Nothobranchius furzeri: one gene and its partners. The protein of the gene in region 1 purifies or fractionates together with the protein of each later gene. This does not show direct contact. Links are inferred from orthologs where the notes say so. Each region holds a gene or a part of one and is shown on either strand. Other genes may lie near its edges. The genes, in order: phf14, hmg20a and h2ax.

Region 1 (4,199 bases):
ACACACACACAAGCAAAATATACTTGTTTTCAATTGCATTTATTGGGCCCACTTACTTTTTCTTTGGCCCACCCACAAATGAGTTGCTGGCTACATTAATGGTGACATATGACAGACTTCTCTGAGCTCCGCAGCCATTACACTTTTCACCTCGCGCACCCCCTAGCGGCAGCTCTCGCACACCACACTTAGGGAATCCCTGATCTAGAACCTTCTCAGACTTTGTGAGGTGTGGCTGTGTGCTCTCACCTCATTCCCCTTTCCTTGGGACATGCTGTCATTGGTCAGGTCATCATCAAAAGCACTGCTGGTCTTCACCTTCTTCTTGGACTTCTTCACCTCTTTCTCACTATCACTACTACTGTTGTTGTTGTCATCACCATCTTCCTTGTCATCGTTGTTGTCATCATCGTCATCGTCGTCGTCGTCATCATCATCATCATTGTCATCGTCCTCATCGTCGTCGTTGTCGTCACTGGCACTGCCTCCTTCTTCCTCCTCTGTGCCGCCTTTCTGAGCAGCTGCTTTTCCTTTCTTCTTCTCTGCCGTAGGCCTCCAGTCGTTATCGTCTTCACTGTCATAGTCGTCCATCTCATTCAGCTCCTCCATGGTTGTAAAGTCCAAAAGGGGACGGTTCCTTCTGAAATTCCATTTCTTGGGCTCAGTCGGCGACTCCTCTGCATTCCCACTGCCAGCTCCGGATGCTGAGGTAGATTCAGGTTCACCAGCTTCAGCGGGGCTGGGTTCCGCCACCTTCTTGCTCGTCCTTCTACGTTTGGACTGGGTGACAGAGGGTGTGTCTTTGGTGGAGCTATCTGAGGATGGTTTGACCTTCTCCTCATCCTCAGTTAGGTTGTCTTCAGCAGCCAGGTCTTTGGCCCCCTCCTCCTGACCATCATCAACAGAAGCAGCATTGTCCGATTCATTTTCTGAGCCTGCAGCACTGACCTTAGAGCCCTCCTCATCACTGCCATTGCCGGTACCATCAGACCCTATCAGAACATAGAACACAAATGGGTTTGAAACACTTCCTTTAGTGTTGGTCTGTTGTTCCCACAGGTAGAAACAGAGACCACCAGCCTTGTGAACAAGACACAACTCTTGCTTTGCAAAGTTTGGTTAGGGTTTACCTGATGCATCTCCAACTTCAAAGTCACTGTCATCAGAACTGTCATAGTCCAAGGCATCAAGGAGAGAGGCAGCAAGTGGCTTCACCTGCCGTCTCTTCAAGCTACGGTCCACTAACAGAAAAAAACAAGTTTGAGTAGGCTGTCGTGAGCACGCTGGGACATTTAGATGCAGCAGTTCACAACAGAACCTTCTTAAACTACCCAAAAACAATTTATTACAAAAGGATCATAATTTTATGTAAAAATTCTAGCAACACTTGTTCAAAACTATTTTAAATGAAAGTCCATCCATGTCAGAATTTTTTAGACGTAGGTCATCTTTTGAATAGAAATTATGGCATTGTCTTCCTTTTGGTTAAGTCACAGATTCAGTTAGCATTCTGACTGAGTTGGAGAGTGATTTCCACTCTGTACCACAGAAAGTCACAAAGATTTTAAATGTAGAAAAACGTTTTTTCCAACTGTCTTTCCTCACTGTATCAAAAATGATCCAAACCTTGACATGAAAACTAAAGTATTTCCCGAGCCAGGATTTTAGGTGTCCAGTTACGACCCCATTCACGTATTACGGAGTTTCATCAAATTCCATCAATGTCTTCTGCTTTTTTTTTTTTTTTTTTTTTTTTTGCAAATGAACAAAGATAAAAGGTCCTGGTCGAAGAGGCCCATGTCCAGTGTGGTACACACCCTGATACCAAACAGCACTGTGATAACCGTGCCTTTAGACACGCAGACTGACTGATAACCAGAATAACCTGACCTGTTTGCTTTATTAATTTATGGTGACCCGAAATTTTAAAGCAACGTCTGGTTTTCATCACCCTTTTTTTTAATTATTATTATTCAGTACTTTTGTTAGCTACAAATCACTTCTTATCAGGTTTTACTGTCGATAAAGGATCTGAACTTCTGCACATTAAGTTAGTAAGTACATGTAAGTACTTTACTTACTTACATTAGCTGTCCCCACAGCGTCCCCGATTAGCCACTAGCACACCGCTAGAAATCTGAATGGGATTACATAAATGCTAAGCACCAGCTGCTCTGCCCTAAATGTAACCACACAGCCCTAAGTATCCGTGTTCAGCACCACACCATCAACAAAGCATCAGTTACAGTCTTAGCCAGTCGCATAGATTCTTGTTCTCTAAGGTAGCTAACTGTTGTTAGCGCTAGCTAAACTGATTCACAAAAAACTGCGGGGCAGTTTTATTAACAATTAAACCACTTCAAGCAGACCCGTGTATGATAACAGAGCCTTACATGATAGGATGGGGTTACATCACCGGTGAAAGAAACGTATAAAGGTAGACTTTAAACTACATGCTAACACCAAACGCTAATCAAAAGGCTAACACTGCTTTCAACTTCTAACATTAACTTTAGCTTGCTAGCTAGTTAAAACAACGCTTTGTATAAACAACGTGATCGAAATAAGAAGAATGTAAACTCGAAATGAAACAAAAACTCACTGTGAACTCGTTTATTTACAGGACGAGTGAGAACCAAAACAGCATGTTACATCTGGACAATAAGAGCACGGTGGTGACTTAGTTACGTCTGGATGTTGTTTCTATGGAGACAGTAAACCCGATACATCATGGGCCATTTATGCAGCCAACAGACAGATCACTGCAGCACAGATGTACTGATCCAAAGCTTTTGCTCAAGTTTATTTACTTTTTGTTTGTTTTTTTAAACCTAGAAACGTTTAAAGTGAAGTGACCCGGAAGTATTTATTTGTTGAACTCATTTTTTTTCACAAAAACTTTATTAAACAGATTGCAGGTAAAACAACAAATGAAGAATATTACATTTACATCAACAAACAACCAGGAGTGTTCATATATATACAAATGTATGCCCACGTTCAAACATATGCTGTTATTTTGTTAAATTTGCATGTATGAATATAAAACTCTCATCAGTTCAGATAAAAGGATAAACTATGACCAGATTTTTTTAGCAGTTCAAGAATAGAGCAGATGTTATCCAATTACCACAAAATGTTGGCAAGAATTGATGTTTCATTCAATAACGTAAAAAATTAAGTAATATTCAACAGTATAGTGTAAAATAAAAAGATGGATTTTCACTCTGCAGTTCTACTATTTATTTATGCAAATCTCAATTGGGTATGAACTAAACTGTGTGATTCAAACCTGCAAATAATTGTGTGACGGAATAGTCGTTACTTTTCTCATTAAAGCCCAATAAAAACCACTTAGGCACTGAAGCTCATTTTCCTATCTGTGGCAACTCAAAGGGGCCACTTTGGTAATGATGTATTTTATATCTGATACAAACACAGACCCACTGTCAGCAGGTGAGGGGTGACACCTGGTCAGGTCACAGTCCATGAGGCCAACACAAGATCTGTCAGGCTTTTCAAATCCTAGCATTTCACCATCTAAAAGTGTGCATTCACTTGTTATTCCAGCACATTTGCTGTGGTCTCTAGTATATAGTCAACCTCTGTAGAAAAAAGCTCTGGCGTTCCTGTTTCAGGAAGTAGAAGTTAGCTGTGGGTGCAGAAAACAGCAGGATTTGGAATCATTATTCTTCCTGATGTTTGGACATCTTGCATCGGATTGGCAATGCAACTCTAACACTAGGCATGTTTCCATTACCAGAACTCCAGGGTAGTTCCTGGGATGGGGAACTTGACCAGGAGATAGGATGTCCAGGTCTTCTCAGCTGTTGTGTCTCTATTGAAATCCAGCCCTTTTTTTTTTTTTTTTTTTTTTTTTTACCGTGTCCTGTCTGGCTGTGAAGCAAGCAGAATTGATGTCTGAATGCTGGTGACAAGCCTTACAGATTTATTCTCAGGTGGAGCATCAAAGCATTTGCTTTTAATGTCACGCCTGATACTTAAAACTTTATTGTTATTGTTGTTGAATGCTTTGTAATTCCGACCAGACACGGAGACAGAGGTGAAAGAGAGAGGAAAAGAAAAGGTGGGGAGAGAGAGAGAGAGAGGGGGGGGGGGTTTCCACAAAAATAAACAATAATGAACAAGAGTCTGCTTCTAGACCTGCAGAAAAAAGACAAAAAAAAAACAAAGGGACA
Region 2 (4,355 bases), on another chromosome or scaffold:
TCATTAACTGAGCTAACGACTGCAGTGCCTACCTCACGATGATCTGTTTCTGATCAACACACAACCCTGTCAGTGTATACTCTGTGTCTGAGGCATGAAGGAGCCGTTGCAGATTCCTTCTAATGTCCAAACCAGCTGCTCACAACGCAAAGTGTTACGGGAGAGATGGAGGGACAACACATGAACGTCATGCTGTGGTTCTGATCAGGACAAGGTGGATGGAAGAATGAAGAAGGTCCAGATCAAGGATGATGGCTGAAGATAGCTGAAGCTTTGACCCGGTTTTTCACACCAGCATGCCGTGCACCACCCTCACACCCTGGAGGAGGGCTGGATCACACGTTTGTGTCGATGTCGTCGGTCTCCGGGCCAGCCAGCCTGCAGACAGACAGGAAGCTTCTGAAGCATGGAGGAGATGATGAAGCACGGCGCAGCGGGTGGATGCAAGGTCAGTGGGACAGCTGTGATGATGGGCCCTACAGGCATGCTGGGATCTGAGGAGGCTGACAGCCGATTGAACCTGGCTCAACAAACTGTCTGCGGAGGCACAATGCACTGATGCTTTAATCTTAAAACATACTCTAAACAATGCCAACCATGTTTCTGCTGGGAGCAAAACAGTTGGCCTGAATCACTATTGTGTTCACAATCAGCCAGTTAGCGACAAACATGATTCTACACAGCAGAGAGGCTTTTCACTGATTCATGACGCTTTCTGCACTGACAGGATGTAAACCGTGTGCTTGTGGAGACGATCTCATGGCTGGCAGATGCTCTTTTCTTTCAACCACAAGTAATCAGACTCATTTGTGTACCTGCTCCTGCATTTGTTTTCCTGTGGGTGAACGAAATCAGCCTCCAGCATCTTTCATTTCCTATCAGGACCAGCTTTTTTATGTTTACACCAGAATCCTTTCAGTTTCACCCTATTTATGAGGCTCTTGTGAGAATTCTTAGTTTGTTTTCTAACACAGTCGTTCAGAAATGAGTCGATCACCACCCGAGCTTCAATTCCAACAATAGCTCAACTTCATTTATTATTTATAGAGTTAGATCGCTCATGTCTGAAAGCAACCTGGTTACATTTAAGATGTCAATACACTTCTGTTTTCTTTGTGATTGTATTACCCAGTGAGTGGATGGATGTGTCCAACCTGTGTGGAATAACTCTGGGTAATTGGAATAAGGCTCTAATCAAAATTTCAATTAGAATGCTGCTGGAGTTATCTCAGCTGTTAAACTCGAATTAATGTATTACTCTTTCTTTGGCTTCCAGTGTGGGAAACATTCTCAGTTTGGATGGATTATTGAAACCCACACAAAACTGGGCAGAGTTGAGTTTGTATTTTTCCTGCTTTTTGCATAAAATCCATAACAAAATAAACTATTCTCCATCTCATCTGTTTAATTACATTCACAAGCCATTAGCTGCTGCTTGCTTCCTTAGTTTAATTAATGAAGTTCGCCATTCTCGGGGGGCTGAATGATTCCATCACTGTAATGGAGCAGCGCCACCGCTAGAGGGCAGCAGAGCCTGGTTAGTCTTCTGAGTAAAAATACACAAAGAGCGAGAGAGCACAGAGCTAGAAAGTATAGACCAGCTTTTCAGCGACGAATCCCTATCAACATATTTTGTGGCTCTCGTTCTTTAATTCCATAAGGTGTGATTTTCTTGCACATCCTAATTATTTATTTGTTTGTGTTTAACTGCGTGATGTGACCCTTTATTTGCTTACTCAGGCGGAACCACGACCCAACAGCTTCGCTATCTGTTAGAGCTCTATCGCGTTGTTGTTGTATTGTTTTGATTGGGAAATAAATGAGCAGGAACAGCCACGGGTCGCGATAAACAAGGTCAGTATCTGCATTTAATGCGTTAAAATACATAAGTGAGTGTTTCTTTCTGTATTAAAGCTGCACCTTTATGTCTGCACCTTCAAGACTAGACCTGGTGGAGCTAACGCTAATGCTAGCTGGTCTGGCTAGGAGCACTACTAGCTTAACGGTTTTACGTTTACTTTACGAGATTATAGCTTCAGTTGAATATAATTTAATGTGTTTGATATTTGATTAAAGTGAAACAAACAAGGAAATAGCCCATTTTGACAATTTGTTGCGTTAGTTAGCCGTAGCGTTAAGTGCTACATGACGCTAACTGTTAGCAGTCCTTGTATTTGTTTCTATTTGTGTTTAAATGACAACAGTGTTTAGTAGCATTACTGCCCACTTTACATACCTAAGTGTGATTCCGATCACATCGGTCACTAACATTAATGCAAGCCTTAATTTAATAAATTTGTTACAGGCGAAACAATAAACAAAAAATGTTTAAATATCTCATTTTTCCCATAATAGTTCGTTTTGTCTGTACTGTGCTTTTTAACAACGTTAAAATGATAGGATTTTGTTTAAAGTGTGTACATCGGATCTATTTTTTAAATGATTGTGTTATTTTTATTCAACTTTTTGAGGAAAATGTGATTTTAAAATGTTACCTGGGTTTTTCAGAGTTAAATTGTGAGGAAAGTTTTCTGGTTTTTCACTGATGCCGCAGATGCTCTTATATCATTATGGTTATCTACACAAAGTATTATTGCCTACAAACACCCCGTGTTGTATGCAGAACCACATTAGCACACATTTGCATCTTAAATTGCAGTGCATCCTCGTAAACGACACTTGTACTCACAAGAGTCTTTCCTGGTTAAATAAAACAACTTTATCGGGTTTCCTCAGATCTCAGGGCTGGAAGATGTGTTCTTGTGGCCAGCTCAACTAGAAGTGTGCATTTGGAGTATTTGACTCTTCACTGTGTCTAAATGGGAACTGGAGCTTTTTTAGTCCAGATTCGACATCGTTGTGAGCTCAGCTCCATCAGGAGGCGCTGCTGCATAGTTTTAGGGGACGTCTGGAAACCTTCAGGGGTGCATGTCAAGCACCACTGATGGTATTGGTGAAAGAGCTGAATTCTCAGTAGGCAGTGTGTGAGTTTAACAGAAGAGGTCAAAGGCTAGAACACGGTTTTACCTGAGGTGGTCCTGCGTGTAGCGGCTGAGCTAAAGGAGAGTTCAGTGCTGGTAGCTGGTTAGCTCTCTCAGTTGTTTGTCTTTACATCCACATAGTTTCTAGTTGAGAGGAGAACCGTGACATCATTCCTGCTGATAACAAAAGTAAACGACTCAGTGACATTTCTGTTGGGAGCAGTTTGGATGAGGAGCAAATCCTATTTCTGGTGTCAGGTCCTTCAGGTGTCACAAAGGGCTGCTCCATTATGGCAAAAATGATGATCACCATTGTTTTGACTGAAATTTAGATCTCGATTGATACGATTTTTAAATCAATATCAATTTATTTGTTCTTTCATAAAACAGCACAGGGCCCAACCAGAGGAAAAAATAAATAAGAAAAAAACAAGATCCTCAAAAAGACCTCCGAGCATAAAAGAGCCAGTACACTTGCTCATAGTTTATGACCCACAGGGTTTAGGCTGGGGTTTAACTCATGGAAGCGTACTAATACAGACCCAACCTGGTAAAAATATCTGACAAATACTGACCGCAAGAGTTGGACAGTGTATTTATATAAATAAAGATCAATAAAAACAACTAAGTACAGCAGCTACGAGTCCCTCGGAGAGATGCATTATTATCTATCAGCATCAGCAACTTATTTCTATCTGTTTAAGACCTATTTATTTACAGCATCAGTTAATGTAATTACCAGTCTTTGTCAGACGACGCGTCGGGTGCTGTAGCGTGTTGCATGATGGGATGGCTGGGTGTATAAAGTGTTATAAACCTGCAGGTCACACGTTTACAAAGAGCAAAAACTTGGTAATGACATGAGATGTAGCGTCTGTGCTGTTATTTACCCTGTTACTGGTTTGACTTTCCATGGCAGGTGTGGCTGTTTGATGCAGGTCTCCCTTTGGACCATGTTTAAATGGTTCAGAATGCAAATTCTGCCTCTTTGGATAGTTGTCATTAAACCTTGTACTGAAGAACTTTTACACAAACAACAGGGAGCCTTAGCCACGCCCTACCAGACCACGGGTCCCCAGAGGAACAAAACAAATGCAAAAATGCCTCTTGTTCTGTTCCATGGATTTCACATATGATTTATGATGAAGACACATCTTGATACCAAGAACGTGCTTATTCTCAAACGGGGGGAACGTTATTTTAGCTTTTGTGTGAAAATAAGTCCAGGACTACAAATGCGCTTCACCACAGTGACGTCATTGAACCAGACACGGGGAAAATGGGGAGAATGGCTGTAAGTTCAGAAAACTTCGAATCTTTTCCTCAGGAGGAAAGAACCGCCATAAGTCTGGTCATGTGGTACGTAGCAGCCGG
Region 3 (3,010 bases), on another chromosome or scaffold:
ATGATTTGGACACGCAGCAGCAGCTCAGGAGGTAGAGTGGGATGTCCAGTAATCAGAAGGTTGTAGGTTTGACCCTTGCTGTCAGAGAATGCTGCTGTTGTGTCCACGGGCAAGACGACTAACCCACCTTGTCTGGTGGTGGTCGGAGGAACCAGTGTACAACAGGCCTCGCCTCTGCCAGTGTTCCCTAGGGCAGCTGTAGCTACACCGGATCTCCATCACCACCAGCGTGAATGTGCGTGCATGGGTGAATGACTGTGTGTGTGTGTGTGTGTGTGTGTGTGGGGGGGGTTGGGGTAAAAGGGCTATACAAATACAGGCAATTTACTACTTTGCAAGTACTATTATTTTTTCTGCAGGGATTCTGAAGTTAGTTTTTATCGGACTGCTCATCACCCCTCAGTCCAGTAAGTTGAGTCAGTGGTACAGGGACAAGAACTGAAAAACGTGTAAAAGAAACCACAGAGGAAGCCATGAATGTTAACACTATCTGCTCGCGTGTTTTTCTCCATGTGCAATAAGGAAACACCTGGAGCTGCTTGAATAGACAGCCGTTAGTACATTTCATTTGAGACTTCACCACCACACAAACACGTTTCCAGGTGACAGATGTTGTCTTGCAGAACTTTTAATGAAACCGTTTTGTTGTGAACAGGCGTTTCACATGATGAAAACATACAGCAGCCCTGAGAACCTGAGTGCAATGCATAACAAATGTTTAGTTGCCAGTGTGTGCAGCTAGCATTGGATCTGGTCAGTTGCAGAAGAGTTGCTACTTTAAATAACATTCAAGGATGAAAAATAAACTCAGGATGAAGATTTTCAAGTGACATTTCAGGCTAACTGGGGAAATTTAGCCTAATCTTGTTTCTTAGCAAAGGATCTAGCCTGAAAGAAATTACCTTAACACAAGCCTTCAATAACCCAAACAAAATATGCTTTGAGCGACATTGATAAACTAGAAAAGTTGCCCTTTCGGTCGGTGGTTGGCCCTTAAAAGGGCCTTTGGGTTCATTGTGGTTAGCCGTGAAGCTAATACTCCTGAGACTGAGAGGACGCCTTCTTTCCCGCCTTGCCGGAGCTGGGTGCTGCCTGGCCGGCCTTCTTGGGCAGGAGGACGGCCTGGATGTTAGGCAACACGCCTCCCTGAGCGATGGTCACGCCACCGAGCAGTTTGTTCAGCTCCTCGTCGTTACGGACAGCCAGCTGAAGGTGGCGAGGAATGATTCGGGTCTTCTTGTTGTCCCGAGCGGCGTTGCCAGCCAGCTCCAGGATCTCGGCGGTGAGATACTCGAGGACCGCAGCCAGGTAAACAGGAGCTCCGGCGCCCACTCTCTCAGCATAGTTTCCCTTGCGGAGGAGACGGTGAACACGGCCCACAGGGAACTGCAGACCGGCGCGGGAGCTGCGGGTCTTCGCCTTGGCGCGGGCCTTAGCACCGGTTTTACCTCTTCCAGACATTGTTGAAGATCTCTTCCACGAATATGATTTCAATGCAGAAAATCGCAAAGTAGAAAGAAAAAAGGCTCGCCGAGCCATATATAAGCCTCCACGTTAGTCCCGCCCCAAACTACTATTGGATGCTAGAGAGAGAAGCTCTCATTTGTTTGGCTTTAGGAGATCAAACGTTCCAGGAAGCCAGTAACTATTGGTTTGGCTGCTCTGGCTCTACACCAATCATCGAGGAGTCTGACCAATAGACAAAGGTAATTGGTTGTTTATTTGTTCACCCAGTTTCACGCGGGTCACGTGTCAGAAGGAAGACCAATAGACGGTCTTCCCTCCAGCTTTAAACGTTTTGGCGCGTTACCGAACGAAAAGTGAACATTTCAAGCGATTTAATGAGTATTGATACAGTAAAGTATTGAATAATGTTGTCAGGGTTTTTGACCAAGATCGAAATGTGGTGACACATGTATCACAATTATACATGAGGACAATTTATTAAAATGCGCAAAATGTGCTTGAAGTAAGCTTACACTGCACAAACTGTGTGAGGGAGGGCCAGCAAGACATGGAAAATTCCACCATCCTCCCCCACTGAGACGAAGCTAATCCTAGGCAGCTCAGCAAATAACCATTTTACTGGTAAAAATATATACCTTTTACAAAAACAAGACCATATTAACTAAGTGCACAATCAACATTAGGGTTGAAAAATAATTTATTTGCAATAAATTACATTTTCAAAATATAACTGGGGCCTCACATCTTGAATTTTACAGCCACTTTTTCAAATTACATTCACATATCACTACATGTATATGTATGTGTGCTTTCAGGCAGGAGAGTGGTTTTGATCTGTTCTGCATTTTTAATTAGTTTGACAGTATTGTCCATACAGTACTGGCTTAATGTTTGGCATGTCCATTTGATAATATTTAATCAGATTAAATATTTATTTAAAAACACAGTAATTGAATAATTGATTTTGGTTGTTATGAGGTCCCAAAATTATTGCAGTTATTTCAAATGAGGTTTTTATAAGAGAAAAAAAATCATATGTACAGTTTTACAATTGGTTCTGATTGCTGCAGCAATTATCATTTTGTGTGTCTAGTTGTTAATATTTTTTTTCCAGCCCTGAGAGCAGTTCCACGTATAAAAAACTCTTAAACTTGGTTCTAATTGCCTGAGCTGAACCCTGACAGTCCAAGTGGATTGAATTAAATATGTTTATGACAATAATTCTCCTAAATACAACATTTTGCTGTTTGTGTAATATAAATTAATCAAATGTGTGACTGTTTGTTGTAAAATATGTTTTCTTAGTGAAGCACTGAGCTGCTGCAACTCAGCTATACCTGATCATTGTAAATCGTTTACCGACATGTTTATTTTTAAAGTTGATAGTCTTTCTTTATTTTTATTTTTTATTTTTTACAGATTAAGCTTATTGCCCAGCACGAGATGCCTGCTGACTGAACTATCAAAATCAAACCATAGTTATGATATTCCACAGAAAATAATTATCACACAAAATTACGATAAATACACCATCTTCTCTGCT

The links.
Region 2: the proteins of phf14 (region 1) and hmg20a purify together in Homo sapiens (affinity purification with mass spectrometry; 3 studies listed by BioGRID and IntAct, counting the BioPlex papers as one, with this or other methods). This does not show direct contact. The link is inferred for Nothobranchius furzeri from reciprocal best matches to the Homo sapiens genes PHF14 and HMG20A.
Region 3: the proteins of phf14 (region 1) and h2ax purify together in Homo sapiens (affinity purification with mass spectrometry; 3 studies listed by BioGRID and IntAct, counting the BioPlex papers as one, with this or other methods). This does not show direct contact. The link is inferred for Nothobranchius furzeri from reciprocal best matches to the Homo sapiens genes PHF14 and H2AX.

The regions. Positions count from the first base shown.
Region 1 is NC_091751.1:23,896,898-23,901,096, reverse strand, and holds the start of phf14 (PHD finger protein 14), read right to left. Parts: upstream 2,804-4,199; 5' UTR 2,604-2,803; coding exon 2,603-2,603; intron 1,242-2,602; coding exon 1,131-1,241; intron 993-1,130; coding exon 250-992; intron 1-249. UniProt on the Homo sapiens protein: Histone-binding protein. Binds preferentially to unmodified histone H3 but can also bind to a lesser extent to histone H3 trimethylated at 'Lys-9' (H3K9me3) as well as to histone H3 monomethylated at 'Lys-27' (H3K27ac) and trimethylated at 'Lys-27' (H3K27me3).
Region 2 is NC_091754.1:44,442,296-44,446,650, forward strand, and holds the start of hmg20a (high mobility group protein 20A), read left to right. Parts: upstream 1-1,540; 5' UTR 1,541-1,661; intron 1,662-1,740; 5' UTR 1,741-1,854; intron 1,855-4,355. UniProt on the Homo sapiens protein: Plays a role in neuronal differentiation as chromatin-associated protein. Acts as inhibitor of HMG20B. Overcomes the repressive effects of the neuronal silencer REST and induces the activation of neuronal-specific genes.
Region 3 is NC_091750.1:47,427,524-47,430,533, reverse strand, and holds h2ax (histone H2AX), read right to left. Parts: upstream 1,563-3,010; 5' UTR 1,540-1,562; coding exon 1,033-1,539; 3' UTR 611-1,032; downstream 1-610. UniProt on the Homo sapiens protein: Variant histone H2A which replaces conventional H2A in a subset of nucleosomes. Nucleosomes wrap and compact DNA into chromatin, limiting DNA accessibility to the cellular machineries which require DNA as a template.